Neodiprion lecontei: one gene and its partner. The protein of the gene in region 1 purifies or fractionates together with the protein of each later gene. This does not show direct contact. Links are inferred from orthologs where the notes say so. Each region holds a gene or a part of one and is shown in the gene's direction. Other genes may lie near its edges.

What was found.
Region 2: the proteins of kinase suppressor of Ras 2 (region 1) and hsp90 co-chaperone Cdc37 purify together in Homo sapiens (affinity purification with mass spectrometry; 3 studies listed by BioGRID and IntAct, with this or other methods). This does not show direct contact. The link is inferred for Neodiprion lecontei from reciprocal best matches to the Homo sapiens genes KSR2 and CDC37.

Annotation. Positions count from the first base shown.
Region 1 is NC_060266.1:5,380,615-5,391,313, reverse strand, and holds the start of kinase suppressor of Ras 2, read left to right. Parts: upstream 1-3,771; 5' UTR 3,772-3,937; coding exon 3,938-4,090; intron 4,091-6,515; coding exon 6,516-6,656; intron 6,657-6,802; coding exon 6,803-6,950; intron 6,951-7,081; coding exon 7,082-7,342; intron 7,343-8,134; coding exon 8,135-8,288; intron 8,289-8,462; coding exon 8,463-8,647; intron 8,648-9,062; coding exon 9,063-9,326; intron 9,327-9,801; coding exon 9,802-9,932; intron 9,933-10,461; coding exon 10,462-10,585; intron 10,586-10,683; coding exon 10,684-10,699. Other genes in the region: peptide transporter family 1, read left to right, coding at 1-65, 689-1,278, 1,551-1,736. UniProt on the Homo sapiens protein: Location-regulated scaffold connecting MEK to RAF. Has very low protein kinase activity and can phosphorylate MAP2K1 at several Ser and Thr residues with very low efficiency (in vitro).
Region 2 is NC_060264.1:26,443,254-26,454,562, reverse strand, and holds hsp90 co-chaperone Cdc37, read left to right. Parts: upstream 1-6,996; 5' UTR 6,997-7,182; coding exon 7,183-7,215; intron 7,216-7,574; coding exon 7,575-7,708; intron 7,709-7,839; coding exon 7,840-8,287; intron 8,288-8,744; coding exon 8,745-9,050; intron 9,051-9,273; coding exon 9,274-9,462; 3' UTR 9,463-10,023; downstream 10,024-11,309. Other genes in the region: protein arginine methyltransferase NDUFAF7, mitochondrial, read right to left, coding at 1-278, 538-657, 736-999, 1,574-1,681, 1,795-2,130; ero1-like protein, read left to right, coding at 2,482-2,592, 3,045-3,248, 3,332-3,489, 3,614-3,799, 3,887-3,930, 4,121-4,472, 4,546-4,839, 4,907-4,958; ER membrane protein complex subunit 6, read left to right, coding at 10,602-10,641, 10,884-11,044, 11,157-11,249. UniProt on the Homo sapiens protein: Co-chaperone that binds to numerous kinases and promotes their interaction with the Hsp90 complex, resulting in stabilization and promotion of their activity. Inhibits HSP90AA1 ATPase activity.

The DNA of each region.
Region 1 (10,699 bases):
CACTGCCAATTTCGCTAGTTGTTCGAGTCTTGGCGTGACAGATACGTTGAACGGAGCCGTGAGTGGTAAGTGGGGAATGTTTGTACGCATTGTAAAAAAGAGCCACATCACCTTTCGTACACGAAGAGAATAAAAGAGCAGATGTACTAAAAACTTCAGGAACAAAGGAACACATCATATGATTTGGTAAAATATACTTTGCAAAATGCAGAATTTATTCTAGAAACAGTGAAAACTACTGTGTGCAAAGTAAAATCTACTAAATTTCTAGTAAAAAATATAATTGACATCGGTATTTTTTTACCAAAAACCCCGATGTGTCCTTCTTTTCTTACAGTTTTGAGTAAAATCGCTCTTTTTTTTCTCTCCGTGTACCTTTGCGGAATAATTTCACGGAAAGATATCCCGTCTGCATTTACGCAATACAAGGGAGATTTCTAACGAAATCCGGCTGCATTTCGGCAACTCCGAGTACATTTTAACGATCGAAATTTGTCTCTCATGGTCTACGATTGGACGTAAAGAGAAGAGTCGGCCAATCGCGAACAATGAGCAAAATTTCAACTGGCAAGGAGTACCCTGTATTGCATAAGTGCAAGCGAATTCACCACGCGATGAATTATCCTCGTAATATTCTTGTGGAATGACCTGATATACGGTTACTTAATGAACATGTGAAACGTTTCAGGAACCATTTATGGAACTGAAGCTACTGCCACTTCATGGGTCGTAACGAAAGATGGAATAAGCAACAGCTACGTGGACAGCGTGTCCAAGACGACGAGTGGAGATCCGGCTGTCCGAGCTTTGGTTTACCTCAACTCGTCGGTCGGGGATACGGCTAATCTAAACTTTATTGAAAATTCGAAAACCGTCCTGTCTTTGGAGGTGATATCGCCGTTCAACGTAACTGATCTTACCGAACTTGATCCTGGTACCTATGACATATATTTGGATGAGACCTTGGTAGAATCGTCAGTAGTGTTAAAGCTCGGAGGTGTCTACACCGTCACAGCTTACGTGAACGATCTCAGTTCCGCCACTGCCAACACCATTACGATCACCGAACCAAACTCCATGCACATGCTCTGGCTTTTGCCACAGTACATCGTGATCACTGTCGGAGAAGTTATGTTCTCTATCACTGGTCTTGAGTTTGCCTTCACCCAAGCACCGGTCAGTATGAAAGCCTTGCTCCAGGCTTGCTGGCTTCTTACGGTCGCCTTTGGTAATCTTATCGTCGTTATCGTTGCCGAAGTAGCCTTCTTCGATAGCCAGGTAAGAATGGCTGTATACTTTACTTGAATACCACGATCTCGATATTTTTTTCATGCATCTTGTAATGTCGCGAACAGGATTTTAGATATTTATCATGTTTAAATTTTCACATTTGCATGCGTTCCAATTTCATTAATAGTACTACGTAATAGTCTATACTATATGTCCAAGAATGATCAAAATTATTAATGAATCCTTTTCAAATCGAGTTTGAGCTTTATTAGGTGTGAGTACCTTTTCGTTATAACAATCGTTTTCGTTTTATTTTCCAGGCGAGTGAATTCTTCCTATTCGCCGGCCTCATGTTTGTAGACATGTTAATATTTGGTATTCTTGCTTGGTTTTACAAGTACGTCGAGATTGCGGAAGATGAAGATGAACTTCCTAATGGAGATATCGTTCTTAACGAAAAGTCTGGTACAACGAACCCGTCATTCAAAGACGATGGCGGTAAGTGATTTGTCCTGGCATCAAACCAGACTGGTTGTGAAACACTTGAAGATACCTTTTATCTACAAAATGTGTTCTACGTGAATTCGAACTGCTGTATATATACACCCCATTTACAACTTAACGTTTCATAATTGTAAATAAATTTAATGCCTTTATACATATCCATATACAGACGTGACCAGTTCGTTATGTTGTGTAAATAAAATTTATCTCTTTAACATTAGGTCAACGATTATTTAATTAAAACGTTTCAGTAACCGTCAGTAATTATACATATGGTTTCGTTTGTTATATTATTAGCATCAAAGAGCCGACCTCTAAAGGCTAATTTTTCATTTTCTCGAATGGTATCCAATATTTGAATTTTTTATTCTTACTCGAAATTTGGCTCTCAGTTGTGAGTATTTTGTAGCTCAAGACTTCCTTTAATAAAGCACTGTGTTCACGAGACCAAAAATCACAGCAAGTTCGCAGATTTAAGTTTCGTAGCAAGCATTGCGCATGTGCAGTACTTAATTATGGGCTGTAGGGTGAGTCCAATTTTCCTCGACTCAATTCAATTCACTGAGCACCCGAAAAACCCATCTAAAAAAACCTGGTCCGAACAAACCCGGTCTAAAAAAAATTTCTCTTTTAATATTGTTTTTTGATGAAAGGTGAAGAGCGTGTATTTTTATATTATATGTGTTTATCAAGTATTGGGAAAACGTCGAATGAATAATTGGCCTTAAAATAATACCTTATACCTAGTAACTATGTTATAAAGTAATAAACATGACTGTGAACTCGTTCATAGTATATCATGAGCATCTACTAGACAAAACTGTAGTAGCACGCTTGCAGGAAGCAAAAATTGTTTGCAGAATGGTTTGATTCATACACTAAATTATTGATTAATAGTTAATAAATTAACCAAATGGGTTATATCATTAATTCCATGTTCAATGACGCTAAACAGAAATGCAATACTCATCGCATCACAAATGTGTAATGAATCAGATCCAATTTTACTCGGGTTTTATGAGGAAAAACCTGAGAGAACCTGGATTTTTGAGACTTTAAGGGCATGTGATAGCGCTTTTGTATCGACCGAATTAGTTGATCCTTATTTTTTGGTATCATTAGTAAACTAAGAAATGAAATTTGTTCATGGCAGAGCATTGCGTTTCCTTAATATTTGTCTTGTGGCCTTTTCAGAATATTAGAAAGTGTCTTGAAGAAGTTCTATACATCAGTTCATCATTAGTGACGAAAAATAACAGCCAGTAGACTCGCAGGGGGTGGACTACTTATACTCTCCTCCATACGGTATTCAAAAGGTTTGAACCAAAGCGATACCACAACTATGGGACAAAAGTATATAATATAAAATTTTATTTGGCTACATTTTTGGTCGCCGAGTCTATGGTCGCCACAAACACTGAATTACCAATTCGTACGTAAAGTTGACCGAGCAACTTGAGTTTTTTTCAATTTCGATTATCCAATCGTTTGATAGTCGATTGGTGTGGCGGTAGTGATAGTATAAAATGTTCTATAATATCTTTAGTCCTAATCACTATTATGTTGGCTACAGTTTGGTCCAAGCCCGACGAGTAATTTGTCCGTGGAATGGTAGTGTCCACCCCAGCCTCCTGACACACGCTGCTAAAAGTGGTTCGCAAAATGTCCCTCGATTCTGCCGCCAATTCCCACCACTAGTGGCGCTAGTAGTTGTCTGACAAGCTTGCGCGCGCTCAGCGAGGGCAGCGAGCGTGTCAGAAGTCTACTAGCGCCACGTAGAGGAACTAAAAAACGGGGACAAAACGCGTACAAGTTTTCAGTATACGAGCAGTGGTGAGTGTTAGGAGGCTGGTGCACCCCATAGACTTCGATCACTGATCTCTATAGTGCCCCTGATTGACTCGCTCGATAAAAAAGGCCTACTACAACGTATGAAGGTAGGAAGTGATGAGTTTGCGAACGCACGTACTGGACTTTGATCGTCGACAAGGGGTTCAGGGCGGGGAGGGTTCCATACGTACGACTGCCGGGCGTCTCTGACGTCATTGATAGGCTGCCAAGATGGCTGTCAATGTTGATAAGTGGTTTGGTTACTTACGATACCTGTGATATTGAATTCGATAGGGGCCTCGCGTCGGGGATACTATGTTGGTGAAATAACAAGTTGTTTAGTGACCGAGACAAGAAGCTGTCACCGTTTCTCATGGCGGACAGCGAGGAGGCTGAACAGGACATTCGGCGAGCCCTAGATGTCGATCAATCCATGATTGACATCTGGGCCGATCGGCTTGAAGGCTTACGGACTCAGTGCTCTACCAGCGCGGAGTTAACACAACAAGAAATACGCACGCTGGAGGTACACGATGCATTTTTTCTTATGAAATTGGCCGCCTTTTGCTTCGCTAATTTCCCGATATCACTCGCCTATTCATGTTCCTTCTTGCTCCAAATCCGCTTGACCTGTTACAGGAAATAGAAAATATATCAATCATTCCTTTCTCCTGCTACTCTAAGCCTCGAATATTCCTATTTTCCAATTAAAAAATCCGTCCAATTATTTAAAATTGATCAATCGTATCGCACTGATTCTAATATAGGCCGGTATAATAATTCTCGAGAACATGATGCGCCAAGGCTTATCATTTAATTCTTGGAAACGAGCTGTCGATAAATACAGTTGTAATTCAATGTTTGATACCATGTTTTCAGTTAAACAAAATTCTCACAACATTCAGTGATTCTAAAAACATCACCGCTTGTCGTGTTAAGAATTTCTTTTTATTTCTTAATGTGTACCTTATCCACAGGGTAGGATTCTGTGCCAAGTAGCAGAGAATTCATTCATATGAAAAGTATCTTTCAAAGACTTGTCAGTCTTCAATTTTCCTTCTACAAGAAATTGATAACACTGCTATTATTGCATAGTTACTCGTTTCTTTCTTTTAAAACACAGTATCGGTTAAAATGTATTCTTTGTGATTTGTATTCCCTTGACCCAGTTAGTTTAATAATCAAGTGGCGCACTGCAAAAGTTTCAGTGTCACTTCATAGGAAGTCAGTCTTAAAATTTTACAATCAGCATCAAATTATTGTAGCATGGTAATATTCATAAAAATTGTGTTATGTTTGTTTTGTTTTTTTTAGTCCTTAAGTTGATTTCAGATGGTTGATCTAAGAGCAGAATGTTTGTTATTGAAACATTGTTGCTTAGAAAGTTTTCTGTGTTAATCACAAGCCGGAACCAATTTTCCTCGTTATACTTCAAAAATATCTAGAACAAGATTGATTATGCTAACATGACATATTCCTTACTTCATAAACTTTAATGACAAAGTCAGCGAAATGGGGTCAGCATCTAAACTCTAAAAAATTGATTTTTCAAACTCAGAAGATCTCCGTTCGTAGCACTTTTCTCGGAGCATTTTAATTTTCTTCTATTCTACCATTGTGTGATGACATAATTTTACAATTAATACTCAAGAAACCTGGAAATTACTACGATTTTTACTGTTCTAAGTGTAAAAATATATGGTATACTTTATAAAATTTCATGAATCTATCCAAGTTAACAATACATCTGTATAATAAAAATTGTTTGGTAACAACGCCTCCAATGAATTAACTGCTCTTATGTCTAAAATAAAACTGCTTATTCAGTATATTTCAAGTTCAGTGTTCAAGTTCAAATTTGCCACACTTCAAGTATAAAAAACATGATTTTGGATAAATGAGAGATTGAGGAATAATATCCACGTGTTTTTTTTTTTCAGTCTATTATCAGTCTATTTGTCAAATAACCGTTAAACATTTATGACAACTATGTTGTAGATTTAAAAAAATTTTAAATACACTTTGGGAATCTCAATTTTCATGCAAAATGCGTCTCATTGCCTAATAAAGCCAAGTTCTAAGTTCCCGAAAGAATTCCATACAATACTTCAAACTTCGACAATGATTCAACTATCATGGACAAATTTTTTTGGTTGTTACCATGGCATTGTTAGTACAGCCACATTAATATGTCAATTTCCTGCAGTTCTCTATGACCTGTACAAATTATACTGTGTTTTCACATGGGATTTCAACATGCTGTAGTTTTGTACCCAATCAATTTTCAATTTCCACACATTTGAACTTGGTCAAACTATTGAATTGTAGGTACGATTTATAAAAAAGTCTTACACCAATCTTATTCAATCAGTGAAGTGATGCCTCTTGTTTCTTACATTTCTGTCCATAATCTAGTCGACATTGATAAAAAAAATTCCAAGTAAATATCAAAAGCATGTCTTGTGGAAAGGAACAAGGAAATTCGTTTTTATTTATACTAAGGATTTACATATACAGAAGAAAAAGCTGATTTCTTTAATTTGAAGATGCATATTTTGCATATATGTCTACTGTTTTATTTATCTCTGCATTTTTAAATCCGTTTATTCTACCACCTTTCAACTTCTTCCTTAGGTTTTAGCTGTTGCGATGAATTTGGAACTCAACATTGAGTTTCATGATTGTGTTCGTTATAATTTTGTAAAATAATATACATGATACGAAACTCATTTTTAGATTATTAAAATATTTGTATATCAAACTTTTAAGCCAGCTATTCTTCGGAAAGATAAAAGTTTAAAGATGACTACGCATTTAATATACAAGACACAAATATTCTGTCAGAGTGTTATTACATTGACTGATGCCGCATAATAAACATGATTATTTTAAAGATACAAAAAATAAAAAGTATAACGAATAATCTAATGATATATTTTTTTCGTCAACAGGGAAAATTGATAAAATTATATTCCAAACAACTTGTGAGGAAGGCTAAGCTTGCTGTCGAGTCATTGCCTGTTGAAATGAGGCAATATCCATCTCTGCAACAATGGCTTCGCGTTGTTGGCCTAACTCAAGAATCAATTCAGGTATCGTTAATTGCGATACTATTTTCAGCAGCTTTCAATTCTATTAAATGTACTATAGATCATTATTAGTATAAATGCTAAAGTGACACTAAATTGACCCACTATTGTGAAGATTACACGGATACATACAAATTATGTAATTACAGATGGTTTGTTCGAAAGCGAGTTCTCTGGAAGCGTTGAAAGAAAAGTCGGAGCATGAATTGGGTAGTATGCTGGGCGAGAACAATTTGCGTCACGAAGAAGAACTCCGTAGGCTCTGTAGGGCGTTACACAATCTGCACCGTTACATGGGTGAGCTTTGTAGTTCCTGTGTCGTATACAAAATTTAACACCAGTATGCATAAGTGATAAAATCACTTGACCCTTGGTAGTAAGTATTATATTTTAAACACTTCATTCAATGTAATGCAATTGTGTTACAGACGTTCTTTTGCGGGGCGATATGGAAAGTAGCGAGATGGCTCTGTATTGGGACTCCTGGGACAGACATCATCTACGAGGAGGGCCATCTCCTCGTTCAGCACGCTCTCGTACTACGCGTTGTTCCGTACCCTCTGAAGATAGCATTCCATATCACAATAACAATAATCTCAACAGCGATACATTGGGCCAAGCATCGTCTATAAGTTCTCTGTCGATGACAACACCCCCCTCTACGCCACTTTTGAACAGACAGGGCCGCAGTACGTTGCTTCAATTGATTTCTATCGTTTGAGGGACCACGTACAAGTAGATCGCTGATTTTCGGTATTTTATATCTCGACAGCCGATTATTCGGTTTGATCAGGTTTTTTTTAAATTCAAAAGTATGTGGATCAACTTTCGTTACAGTCATTTTTGTATTAGAATCAATTAATAGGAAGCTTTGTTAGTGACGGTAACACCCACGACGTCACTAACAGCGCAACCAATTTACTTCTAATTTGGAGACTGTATTTTTGAATATTTATCCCTTTTGCTGCTATCGCTCCTTTTCTTTAATCATAGTTTTCCTATTATAATTGAATATAATTTCTTTGACTTTGAACAAAAAAACTACAGAAATTCAACTTTAAATGGTCGCTATTTTATTGAATGAAGTAAAAAAAAAATAATAATAAGAGAAACTATTTCAGAATACTGTGTCCAAATTTCAAGTAAATTGGTTCAGCCATTTTTGAGGAATCACAGATACCACGAAACTCATCACCAAGTAAAGTAACGTCATTGTCGATGACAATATTCCCTCTTGATTCATTGTAGTAAAAATATATATATATATATATATATATATATATATATATATATATATATATAAATGCAGCTCGATTTGTATACTTTCAAATAAAGCAAATCCTAATTGAATTGTGTAATCAGTTGTTGAGGTATAAATTGCCGAAATTTACACAACTTTTGAGGCATCTACTCATATATATATACCCTACCTTAAGCAATGTAAAACGATCCATGATTATGAAAATTTCTCGTTCTTCCAGACGCAAGAGTTCCGACAACGCCTCCTCCCTGCAAGAGACACCAAACTGGCCTACAAAGTACTGTGACACAGCCTGAAGTATTTCCGCTAACTAAATCCAAATCACACGAATCACAGTTGGCCAATCGTCTAGAAAATGGGGAAACAGCGTCAAGGTTGTACTTTATTTTCAATATACTGTAAAGCATTACAGTCACCTGCTGATGATCTTGGAGACAAATATTCCATCTCATTCGGTTTAAATTATAACCTGTAATGTTAACGCTAAGAATAATTATAACTTGTTTGATAATTGGATTTACTTAATTTGCATGCCCATGTTGTAACAGTGGTGCAGATCCAACCGTTGGTAGCAGTACCACTAGAGCAAGATTGTCTACTGAGCCAGGTCCTCGTAGCAGTAGCGCAGACATTACTGGAGACATTCTTTTGGGTAACAGTAACACTGACAGTCCTATAAACTCGCCACCCTATTCCAGCGCTAACAGTGACGATAACAGCTTTAAGGCTACAGGTTAGATAATTCTCTACCTTTATTACAGATTTACCAATATATTTATTCGTAGAGTAAGGCGATGTGAAAGAGTTTATTTGTATTTAAAATTGTACATCATTGCCTGGAATTACTTACGCGGTTAAAAATGGATAAATTTTGGGAATTGATACGTTGACAATCAATTAAATTCGATCGGCATTTTGTTTATATCTAAGCACGTGAACCGAGGTTTGTTTGTGTAAATTTTTTAACAAATAAAACTCCCATAAATTGATTCTCATAAAAACAATATGTGAACACAGCTCGATGTTCTTACTTTTTGATAAAATAAACCTCAATCAAATTGAATGATTGTTTGTCGAGATATAAATTCCCAGAATTCACCCATTTTTCAAGCCGTCTACCATTTAAGATTTTCTCTTATTATTTTCAGTCACGAGTCTTCAGGTGCCAAAGTCTCCACGAACTCCCACAGTGACTCGTGGCATGGGTCACGTTATTGCTCACCGTTTTACTAAAACCTTTAAAATGATGACCACTTGTGATTATTGTGATAAACAAATGTTCATTGGCACAGGTCTTAAGTGCAAGGAATGCAAATATAAGTGCCATAGAGATTGTGAGTCTAAAGTTCCACCGTCTTGCGGTCTTCCTCAAAAACTGTTTGATGAATTCAAACGAACTATACAGGCCGATGGTAAGTATTAGAATAATATTACATCAGCGTAGGTTCTTCGTAGGTTTCAGGTTTAATGGATTCTTTTACCTAATGATGAATTGAGAAATTGTAACAGATACGGTATTGAAAATTTGTCTATTTTATCATGGGAATCATTAATAAATCAGAATTCAAATCTACTTTACCAAAAATTAGACGTTTATACAAAACCAATCGTTATCAACATATCCTCCGTTTTTTTCTGTAACTCTTTAGTTTCTGGTTCAACAATGTGTGTTGAATTAACAAAATTTATGTAAACTTGACGGTGACTCAAGTAATTATTCGTATAATTAAAAATTTGCCATCAGGTGCGTGAAATTGATGAAAAAGGTATTAAATTATCTATATCAACTCGTATTTAGCATAGGTACTATTAAACTGCTAATATAATAGTTATAAAATGTACTGCATTTATTCATTCGCAATTAAAAAAAAAATACAATATCTTTAGCTATGACGAATGTTTCTCCAATACTAACCAGGCCTGGGATAACATCTACAAACCATCATAATGCAATTATATCTGCTACTTTCAATCGGAAACGTACGCATCCTCATTCCTCAATGAATATACCCTTTCAGGTATGTAATTGGTTTCTTTGTTGTTTTTTTTTTTTTTTTAACTTGTAAAAAATATCCAAAGGAGTCGGTCTATCGCTAGTTATGTGTGAAAACCCTCAGACAGGCGACAAAATTAGTGACTGAAATTTTCTGTTGTTTTCGTTTTTTATTTCAACTAACATGAGTAATATTTATGGATAAAATTTGATAAATTTTGTACCTGTGGTTCTCCCTTACTATACTGTCTCTCTAATTATGGTGTGGATGCATTTCGTACGATTCAAATAATTATTGTTCTATAGTGAAAGTTTACTGTCAAACTATATTCAGTAAAGGGTAGGCTCGAAGTTTAAAGTGATGAAAGCTTCAAACCGCAAATGTCGAAACTTATATTTTGGCAATGGAAAGGTCGCAAACTTTTATCGCCTGAAATTTCAATCCCAACATTTGAATAAAACTCTGTTTTCTGTAGTCATGATGTAAACAGTCACATGTATATATTTTGGTATGGTGTTGCAAAGAGAAAAATAAGATGAAAATTTTGCTTCAGGGTGCTGATTCTAGTTCAAACACTTCGAGCTGTAATAGCTCGACACCTTCTAGTCCAGCATTACACCCTGCTAATACTAGTCAAACTCCACAAGCACCTGTTAAACAACAGTTCAACTTTCCAGGTATGTGAATGATATTTATTTTCATAAAACTACAGTAAACCACGGTACTTTATTTCAATATGTTAATTTATTAATTCTATGCTATTCACTGATCGTAGATGTCACTCTAAACAA
Region 2 (11,309 bases), on another chromosome or scaffold:
GTGACGGGGCCAAATGATATCAGACGATTATTTTGACATGCTATTCTCCTCAGCAGTGAGAAGTCAACGTCTGCAGTCAAGTCAGCTGTTCCTGGATTCGTGAGTGGATCCTGCTGCTTGTGATTACGGAAAGCTCGAAACGTGTCTGTTCGATCTCCGTTATGACCGTAGTCAGCAATAAGCGCGAATCCTCCGTTTCCTATGAGAAAATTTGCAATATAATCTATAATTACGGCGGTTTGCGGGCTTGTTTCGATGTGATCCCTGCGTTCGTGTTCCTAAAAAAAATTGATGCATATAAATTAGTGACATAAATCATGTAATTTTACATGTATGGGTCATATGTGCTAGAATTCTCAACAACGGTTATATTTAAAATTGCGTATCTCATTTAGATATTTCAAATTTGTAATAACTGTTTCACACATACTTATTCGGACAGCAAACAACAGACTCTAAACCTTATTCATCATCAAATGTAACTTATCTTCATTTGTTTTAGAAAGTTAGATATTTCCTACGCTCACTAATGCTTACAGAGATGTAAAACTTGGTATTCGGAGTAGCTGACCTAGACAAGACGTAGCGAAATTTTTCAGTCTCTTTCGACTCTGAATGGATGTCGATTAAAATTTCTCTCCATCCCTCGTTTGTTTTCTAAAAAAGGAAGAAGCAATGTTTTAAATTGGCAGCTAAGAAGCTGGAAATTCCATCTTCACGCTCAGATTAGTTCACCTGAAACTTATGTATGGGCATAGCGTCGAAAAATTCCTGTGCAATTATGATGCTGAAACCAGAAGGAACATCGTGGATGGTTCGATACCAGAACACTGTGACACCATCCTCTGTTGTGCCATGTTTGTAATAAGATTGACATTTGTCATTGTCAATTTCTTCATATGTTTTGCATAAATTCTTTGCTTGCAGGTCAGACAGTGTTGGGCTGACCTCTACCAAATGTAATGAAACTCTGGAGGATAATCCCAGTTTGTGGTAAACCTGAACGACAGAGACACCTATCTATCAGCAATACTACAAGAGAGAGGAAGGCCCTTGCTTCGCTATATGCTCAATAAAAGTGAGACCAGCTAATAAAATGCATGCAAGATAGTCAACAAGTCCATAGAACCGTGTAAAGAGTTTAATCAACATAGATAAAACAAATACCAGAAAGCATTAGGTTCAAAATTAAAGTTTAAAGATCAAATATAGACTGGTAAGTGAAGTTAGCATTGAAATATTTCTTATACTGTTCTAGTCAGCTGAAGAGCTGAAAATCTATGCATTTAACTTATTAGAAATTCATACAATCACTTGAAACTTATCATGCATAAACCATTACCACCAGATAGATTAAATACACGTTTGAGTTTTGATTCGTAACTCTTCAAGCCTACATACAGCATTTTGGATAAGTTTTGCAAATTTCAGGTAATTTGGTTGTCTGGCAGAGTGGGCAATATTTCGAAGTAAAAATTATAAGCCTCAAAGCTAATTTTTTTTTTTTGGTTCTAGTGTATCTGAACTAAACGAACAAAGGTGAGCCTTGGACTAATGAGATCTTTTGACACACCCTGAGTATATCTTTTGATAAGGTTCCTCGTCCCGGACCTAATTCCACCAGCTGCACAGATTGGTTGCTTATTTTTCTCCATTCGTTTACAGACCAGACAGCAATCATCTATCGAAATGTCTAAGATTAATCAATACTGCATATCTAATAATAATAAAAACAACAATTGATGAAAGGGTTAGCGATGATCGTTTATTGCTTTTGTAGGCCATCAGGATTACCTCTCCAAATAGCTGGCTGATTTCTGGGGAAGTAGTGAAGTCACCTTCAGTGCCAAAAACGTCTTTATTCATGTAATATCCAGCACTTGGAGAGGTCAAAACTTCCCTCATATATTCAGCTATAGTTATGGGCCCGCCGGCCAATATTCGGGAGTAAAGATGCCTATATAAAATCGACTTCTCCTTTTGAGGATCATCCTTAGTACCGGTCGAAACGTAGCGACCTTTCAAAACAGATGCCAATTGATAGGTACGATCGGTAGTGCAATAACGGTCTACCAAGTGTCGTACTATTTTCGGGGAACCAATAAATTGCTTACACGACACCGGGAACATGTCACGCGGCTGCGATGCTGATATTTTTTTCTACGGGAAAAGTGAAACCTATCCCGGTACAACAAATTTACACCTCCCCGTTTCGATTTCAAAGAACGTTATCGTGCCCTACGCGCACCGCCTCACGTCGTTAACGAAACGTACACGTCTTGCGAACTTTCGAAGATTACGCGATTTCTCAGTATGTTGCACTACGTGATGTGCGGTTGAGGTTAGTCACGAGGAAATCCGACGTCGGTTAAGAAGGCATCACTTGCGACAATCGCGTTCAGTATTCAACCGTCGCGGATTCTTTGTAGATTCATTTCATTCTCATTGAACGTGTAGATAAATCAGTGTTGTGGCAGCACAATGTGGCTGTCAAATTCAGTGATCGTTATTTTGTTCTTATTCCCAACGTTCGGTGTCGACGCTAATTACTTCGGGACAAGCAATGATAACGATGACCAATGTTTCTGTAAGGTGAGATGATCATTCCAGGCATCGTCCTTGATCTTGACCTGACAAATATGTGACCTCGTTAACATAACCCCAAAACAACAGATGTCAACTGAACGAATTTCCAGAGTACTATCTCGATTACGCAATCAAAAAATAACAACAGTATTGTTTACGCAGCTTTTCACGCTACCAACGAGCGACCGATTCGACGTTTCAATTTCTTATTATTATTGTCTTCAATAGTTCCCGTTATTGTTGTTATTATTATGATCGTTGTCATCCTTTGACGAGCATTATAGAGCATTAGAGGAACAAAATTACAATTATCGTCGTAATTTTGAAGTCCGTACAAACATTTCTTCACTTGCCTGTCTATAGTCCGTATGTTTGTTACCTCTGCTTTTGTACAGTATGATGAGAAAATTTGAAAACAGTGTCAGCATTATTTTATCTTGTTACCATTGCCTTGGTAGCTCAAAGGATCCATAGATGACTGTAGTTGCAGCGTGGATACAGTCGATCATTTCAATAATATGAAAATATATCCGAGGTTAAGGAGTCTATTGGTTAAGGATTACTTCAGATTTTACAAAGTCAACTTGAAACAAGAATGTCCTTTCTGGTCAGATGACAGCAGATGTGCGATACGCTACTGTCATGTAGAACCATGCCAAGATGTAAGTGTAGTAAATTATTCATTCAATTATGTATTTATCTGTTATGCATAAATATTTCAGTGTAATTGAGAATTTTTTTACAGGAAGATATACCAGCTGGACTGAAAGGAGATGTATCTAGGCATAATCATTACAACGAAAATCCAGCCGATAAGTACAGTGCTCCTAGACCGCTAGAAGACTGCGAAAGAAGTTCTCAAGACTATAACAAAGAGCTTGGATATTTAAACACGACGATTAGGTAAAGGGATAGTTATGATGAACCAATTCTTGCAAAATGTTAAAAATACCGCACTAACTCACAGTTTGATAACAGGTTTAGCTCAAATAATAGATGTACGGTTAATTACGTTATTTCGTTCTAGTGTAAAAAATTATGAGGAATTTGAAATGTGGCAAAAGCACGACGACGCTGTCGATAATTTCTGTGTGAGTGAAACAAGTCCTGGTGAATATGTTGATTTGTTGCTAAATCCTGAAAGGTATACAGGCTATAGGGGCCCCAGTGCTCATAGAATATGGAGAAGTATCTATATGGAAAATTGCTTCAGGTAATTATTTTTGAAATTTCTGAGTTTTTGAAACTTTTATCCTTACGTTTTTGGATGTATATTATAACAGCCATTAATTATTTCTAGGCCAGAGAAGTCTACTCGCAACTTTGTACAATCAAAAATGAACGGTAAATTTCATTGAGAAACCAGACATTTTTACATATCTTATCTCCACATCATCCTTTGGATAAGATTTTAAGATATTGACTCTGATGGACATAATTCATTGATTATTTTTCACGGAATGGGATGACCTTGTATTCTATTTGAGTTTATGCACAAATTATATGAGTAACACCAAAATATTACATTTTACAGGAATGTGCTTAGAGAAGAGAGTCTTCTATAGAGTTGTATCAGGGTTACACTCGAGCATCAACATTCACCTGTGCTCCAAGTATTTATTGTCAGAAAAGGATAGTTTGGAAACTGTGTCAGCTGGTGCTCAATGGGGTCCAAATTTATCAGAACTACAGAGGAGATTCTCTCCGGAAACAACTGGAGGCGAAGGACCAACTTGGCTGAAAAATTTGTATTTCATTTATCTGCTTGAATTAAGAGCATTGGCGAAGGCTGCGCCTTATTTATTGAGAGAAGAATATTATACTGGTAATGACGAGGATGATCGCGATACCAGATTGGCTGTTCATGATTTCTTGAATGTCGTAAGGTAAATACGCACATGTGTTTCGTTTTTGCTTATAACGAGCTCAATATTTTGATACATTTTAGAATATTTTCAGGTCATTTCCTGATCACTTCAACGAAAGTGTTATGTTCAATGGAGGAGCACAGGATAAAGCGTTGAAAGAAGAGTTTAGACAACATTTCAGAAATATATCAAGGATTATGGACTGCGTTGGTTGCGACAAGTGCAAACTCTGGGGAAAGTTGCAGATCCACGGATTGGGAACGGCATTGAAAATATTATTTTCTGGAAAGTTTGATAGATGGGAACCAACATTGGATGATATTACAAAGCAACAGTTTTATCTTGAGAGAAGTGAAATAGTTGCATTGATCAACGCTTTTGGAAGGTCGGTATGATATCTATTTTTGTTTTGAATCCAAAATTCAAGTCATTAAATATTGAATTATTTACAGGTTGTCTGACAGTGTTTTCGAACTGGAAATGTTCCGACAAATGATGAGATAGCACAATGATGACGTTGAGGAGTGAATATTTTTATTGGCTTTTTTTCAGACTTAAACATCACACGTAGGTTATATAATATTCATAATAATGTCGGTATAGCTTTGACTTATACATGTTAAGTACACATTACAGTCACAAAAAATACGTTAATTTGATCAGGTGTAACATTTGTTTCACACGGAGTGGCATTCCTGTAGTCAACGTTCATAGAGTTCAATTTCGTTATAACGCTTTTTAAGTAAATATATCTCGAATTCGTTGCAAGCGTGAAAATGCGATATGCGGGTGTAAAAAGTAGAGTTTAAGAAATTTACCAACGGTAATGACACGCACAATTCGAATCGTATTTGAGACTGTTGTAGCTTGAAAGCTCCGGTGGTTTTTGATTTTACAGAAAATTACGATCCAGAACGCGAAACGTTGGATGCGAGAGAGTTGTAATAATTTAATGACGAGAAATCTTATCTCTACAAATTGAATCAATTGAAGCTCTCTGCAATATTTTTATGATTATTCCTAAGTTCCGTTTCTTTTACCAATGAAAGTGTTTGGGGAAATAAACATCACTATTCAGAAGTAGGAACAAAAGAGATATAGGTCCTGTAATAAGTTGAATGGGTAACGGGAAACGTCAGACATGAGCATTCTATTTCTTATGTTACTGTTTCACTGACAATGAATGAAAGCATGATGTATCTGTAAAATAATCTATCTCTACTGTCTGTGATACATACTTTCCTCCAGTGGGTATAATAGGCGTAATGATTATCGGTGTATTATACAATGTATATTCTTACCGTTTATAACTATCCAATTTCCAAATAGTAGGCTCAACGCATATATCTTTTCTTTCGCTCGGAAAAGTTATTATTCATAATGAATGATTTATTCCATGAACAGTATATGTAGTATAATTGTAATATCAAAGCCCGATCTGATCTCTGAACAAATATGAAACATTCTGTGAAGGCGGGAAAATGGCTGATATAGCTACATCAATGACTATCAATATTACATGCATATTATGGAACAGACAATGTGAAAAGGTGGCTCTTAAAATTATAAAATTCCATATTTTAACCAACCTAGTTTCAACGGAATTTCATAATTAAGACTATAAGTTACAACGATATATCTCTGTATATTTCAAAACATTGATAAGTCGAGAATTTTTATTGTTGTATACATATTATACAATACAATATTTGAACGAAACTTAAAGAATTTGTACCAATCTATTATGAGCACAGTTCATTTATTAACGCTATGGTGCAGTCGTTTATTATTTGGTATACACATATTTTTAAGAATTTATGCAAGATGTTTACAATAATTTAGTAAACCTTTCTGCCTGCGTTATGCTTCAAGAGTAGGTGGAAACTTTGGCATTGCATATTGTTATATATATTATAGTCGAACAAAGTGAAATATTTATTGCAATTTAAAATTATGTAAATAATTTATAATGAAAAAATATTGAAACAATATAACATTATTTATGATCAATGTATGCTTCAACCTTCTGTTTATTTACGTATTTTTAGTCATTAGGAAATTCAGTTTTTCTTCTCTTTATCAATTACGTATCTGTATCAAAATCGGATGTTTTCTCGTACTTTTGTGAGTACTCGACTACTACTCGGTGGAACCTATAAACATTACAAAAGAATTCTGTGGTCCGAAACCCCCACCATCGCATTAAGCGTTCCAGTATCATTATATTTCAGTCTATCGTGATTTCAGTGATCTTATGTTATCTCTATCATTGACTGAAGATTATATATCCTCAGTCAACAATCTCTATGAAGGCTAGAGGTAAGAAGTGTTTCATGTGGATTGTCAATTAAAAAAGTGTCCACCAAAAAGCGACAAATAGTGTTCAACAAGTAATCAGAATGGCGTAAATAAGCAATCAGAGTCAATCTGATGAGCGCTTTTTTTTTTAAATGTGAATCTTTTCCTATAGCAGCGCTATCTTGATTGTACTCTATTTCGTGGATACTTTGCTATACGTATCCGACGGAGGCCGCTCGCGTCGCGTGATCTACCTGGAATGTTTGGCATTGTGCATTGGCATTTTGCTTGCACGCTTAGATCCGGAGGCTGTGCAAGTAGCAGTTACCAGCGTTTACCAGAAACCGGTATCACCTGACAATTGTCAAATTTCCTAACCAACAGTACGAGGCAGAAGACCTGTTCCGCACCACTCTTGTACAACACAACAATGGTCGATTACAGCAAGTGGAAAAACATAGAGGTGAGTCCTATCGTAATTCAAAGGCTCCAGTACACGAGGCCGAGCGGACAAGAGAATCTTGGAAGGTTCGAGAAACCGCAGATGCGAATCTGAATCTTAGATAAACGCGATGTTTGCCAATATCGGTTTATTGAGTTAGGAATTTTCTATCGCGCAATTCTTATCGAAGCACAAAATTCAAGCCCTTTCACCAGTTTCCTAGCCTTGAATTTGACAATTAAATGATATTTATACTTCTTGCGTGTACATGAATTAGATTATAAGTAAATTTTTTGTTGAATGAACAAAAAGTGAATTATAAAATTATTTTGCCGAGCTCTGTTCGTTATACCTACTTATAATTCTTTCGTATTTCTTAGATATCTGATGACGAAGATGACACCCATCCCAATATCGATACTCCGTCACTGTTTAGGTGGCGGCATCAGGCTAGATTGGAAAGGATGCAGGAACAAAGAGCAGAACAGGAGAAGCATGAAAGAGAAAAAGAGGAGTAAGACAGTTTCCTGCTAGTAAGACTTGTCAAATTACATAGAATGGTTTGATTTGTCCATTCCTGTTGAAAATTTAGGCATGTTTAAAGGTGTATGAAAAATATTGTGAAAAATGATACACGTGTTGCAGAATTGCGCGAAAGTTGAAAGAGGCGGAGGAAAAGTTGAGCAAGGTAGAAAAGGGTGAGGAAAAGGACCAGCAAGACCTGACATCTGTTAAAAAGGCATTGGAAGAGCTTAAAATGAAAGAGTCTGAGATATTGCACAAGGAAGAAGAATTAAAGAAGAAGGAAAAGTTACAACCTTGGAATGTGGATACAATTGCCCAACCAGGTTTTACAAAGACGGTAATAAATACAAAGCCAGCTAGAAAGGAAGATGAGAGTAACTTGCCAGATGAAGAGAAAGAGAACAGGATGAAGCAGTTTGTTAAGCGTAATGAAAAAACTTTGAAGGAATTTGGTATGCTGCGGAGGTATGACGATAGTAAGAAATATCTCCAGGACCACCCAGATTTGGTTTGCGAAAATACGGCGAATTACTTGGTCATTTGGTGTATCAACTTGGAAATGGAAGAGGTTTGTATACACAAAAAATGTCGATTTATAACAAATTCTTGTATCTTAAATTTGTAGACTGTTTCAAATTCTTTAAATCGCATAGTTATTCACGATGGCCAAAAATGAAACATTCTATAGAATTTATTTTACCTTATGATTAGTACAGTTAAAGAAAGAAAATGAAGAAATGATAATATGCCAATATAGATGTCACGTTACCATTTGAGTAGAAAATTAATCCATTATCCACAAGTCAAAATACTCGTAGAGTCCCATACAGTCAAATCGGAAAAAACACAAGTTTGTGCTATGACTGTATCGTTATTAGCGATTTTGTCAATTTTTCTCCTGAAATACACGTGTGAGGTGAAATTCTCAGGATCTTTTCCTCATTTGTTTTCTGGCTTATAAAAACTAAAATCGCTGCTTCTTGTTTGTGAACTTATTACCCACGAATTTATTCCTATTGTTGCAGAAACACGACCTAATGGAGCATGTAGCTCACCAGTGCATTTGCATGCAGTATATTCTTGAACTCTCCAAGCAGCTAGATGTCGACCCACGTGCCTGTGTCGGATCTTTCTTCAGTCGTATACAAATCGCTGAGGTTGAATATAAAAATTCCTTTGATGACGAACTGAAGTCCTTTAAGGAAAGGATTCGCAAGAGAGCGGCAGAAAAAGTAGCTGAGGCACTAAAAGAAGCCGAAGAGGAAGAACGAAAGAGTCGCCTTGGTCCTGGAGGTCTAGATCCGGTCCAAGTGTTTCAAGAACTTCCTGAGGTTGGTGTTTAAACTGCATATCTACCCCGTGTTTGAAACCTCCCCTACTTGTTTATCTACTACTTATTGCTGATTGCTGACTGGTCTCAATTATCTTCTCCCCTACCTGTTTATCTACTAATTATTCTTATGTGCTGACTGTTGTTCGCAATTTTCTCTTACAAAGTTACTGTTTGTATAATCAGCTCTCAGGATCTTGCTGAGCTCTCACTCTGTATTTCAGGCCTTACAAAAGTGCTTTGAGGCACAGGATATACCGTTGTTGCAACAGACGATAGCATCAATGCCAGAAGAGGAAGCAAGGTACCACATGAAACGATGCATCGATAGCGGACTATGGGTCCCAGATGCAAAGGCTGCTAAAGAACAACAGGAAGAAGAAGAAGCCATCGGAACTCCAGACCCTGAATAATAATATTTAGCACAAATTGACGAAAAATTATTACTCGAATTATTTTTCGTTCAATACAACATGCACTTATACTCAATTGTAATGTATTACATAACTGGGTATTACTTATGTTGCTGTTTTGTCGAAGAACTGATCATTCGTTGAAGAAGAATAATAATCATATTGGTCATGTTGACTAAATGTCAGTCAGATCATATGAAAAGAGTCTTTGAGATTATTGTTCTGATTTATTGGAAGAACTGACAATACAGTGGTGTTACGTCAAATTCAAGACGAAAAGTAAACTAGACATTGTCCATTGCGTATAATGTCTTTTTGCTGTAAAACTGCCGTTTTTTTTTTATCCTTACAAGTGAAAAAAAAATGATTATTATGATTATTGTCATTGTTGTTGTTAATGTTGCTACCGCTATAGCTGCTACATATTACATTCATCGTCGACGCTTCAACGATTCATAATTTCAAGAACAACATGACTGACAGGGGAGATTTCAGTGTCAAATTCTACTCTGTATAAAATTAGAAAATAATAAACCGTGTAAATACGTGCCGATTCTTGAAGTGCAACATCTTATCCTTTAATGAATACTTAGATTTAAAATATACAATAGTGGCCTATCAATTGAACTGAAAAAACTTACAAATTAATTGACAAAATTTTGACCATTTGTCAAGGAAACTACTTTTTAACCAATCAGCGAGCCTAAAATCACTGGTTCGTGGGATAAAAAAAATTCTGAGTAGCCATCACTGCCCAGTGATTCTGATAGAGTAAAACCACGGTCTTACAGACAGTCTGGGCACTCCGGCTGTAAAATCGTGCTCGAAAGTGAAGCCGATATTGTGAATTTTCGCCGCTAGCGCTAGTGAAGGAGAGGCCTACTTAGTACGCATACACCGGCCTCGGAGATTGCAGCGCTCCGTTCTTTGGTGCACAAATTGAGAAACACAGGCTCAAGACGGTCACGCTGCGTTATATAGGAAGGGGCTTGGAGTACCTACTATAAGACCGCGAGTAAAACATTAAAAGAGACGCGTGCGTGTGTGGTGTTACGTGTGTATGCCTGTGTGTTGGGGTTAAGCGTCGAAGTGAATTGTAATTTTTTTCTTTTCAAACCGCAATTTAAGGAAGCCTTATCATGTCTACGAAAGTAAGAACAAAGCAAGAGAAAACCGGCGGTAAGTGTTCCACGTCCTTACAATGATCAATCAGACCATTGAAAAGCGAGGACTAACGAAATACATAGATTATGTATGTAGGTTATGTTTGTTTTTTGCCACATACTGTTTCATGTCATGATCTGTCATAGCGGAACTTATGTGACAACTTGATACAATTTGTTCAAATCATTACATTATGTTCAACATATTTTGCAATAATACTGTCACGTGATAGTTACTGTGACAAATCTTTATTTCAGAGGTGGTCGCTTACAGTGAGGGAGCGGTTAGAAATAATTCAGCTGTCGTCGAATACTGCAGGATATCCATGGCTGCGTTATCTGGAAGTACGGCTGGACTCTTGGGTCTGACTGGACTCTATGGTTTTGGATTTTATATATTCGCTGTAGTTGGGTTATGGGTAAGATACAGTCGCTCTTATTGAATCCCTTTGAACCTTGTACTCGCCGCCGTATTTACAATGTATTCATAAATCTGTTTAACACCGTGTGTTTTTACGTTTATTTTCACAGGCGCTGCTTATGATGAAAACTGGTGGGCAATGGAAAAAGTATTTCATAAGTAGACAAAGTTTGCTAACAAATGGATTTTTTGGTGGGCTATTTGTATCCTTTACACTATGTGACTCACAGAGCTGGTCGCAAGTCGTATTTACTTGCATTCCA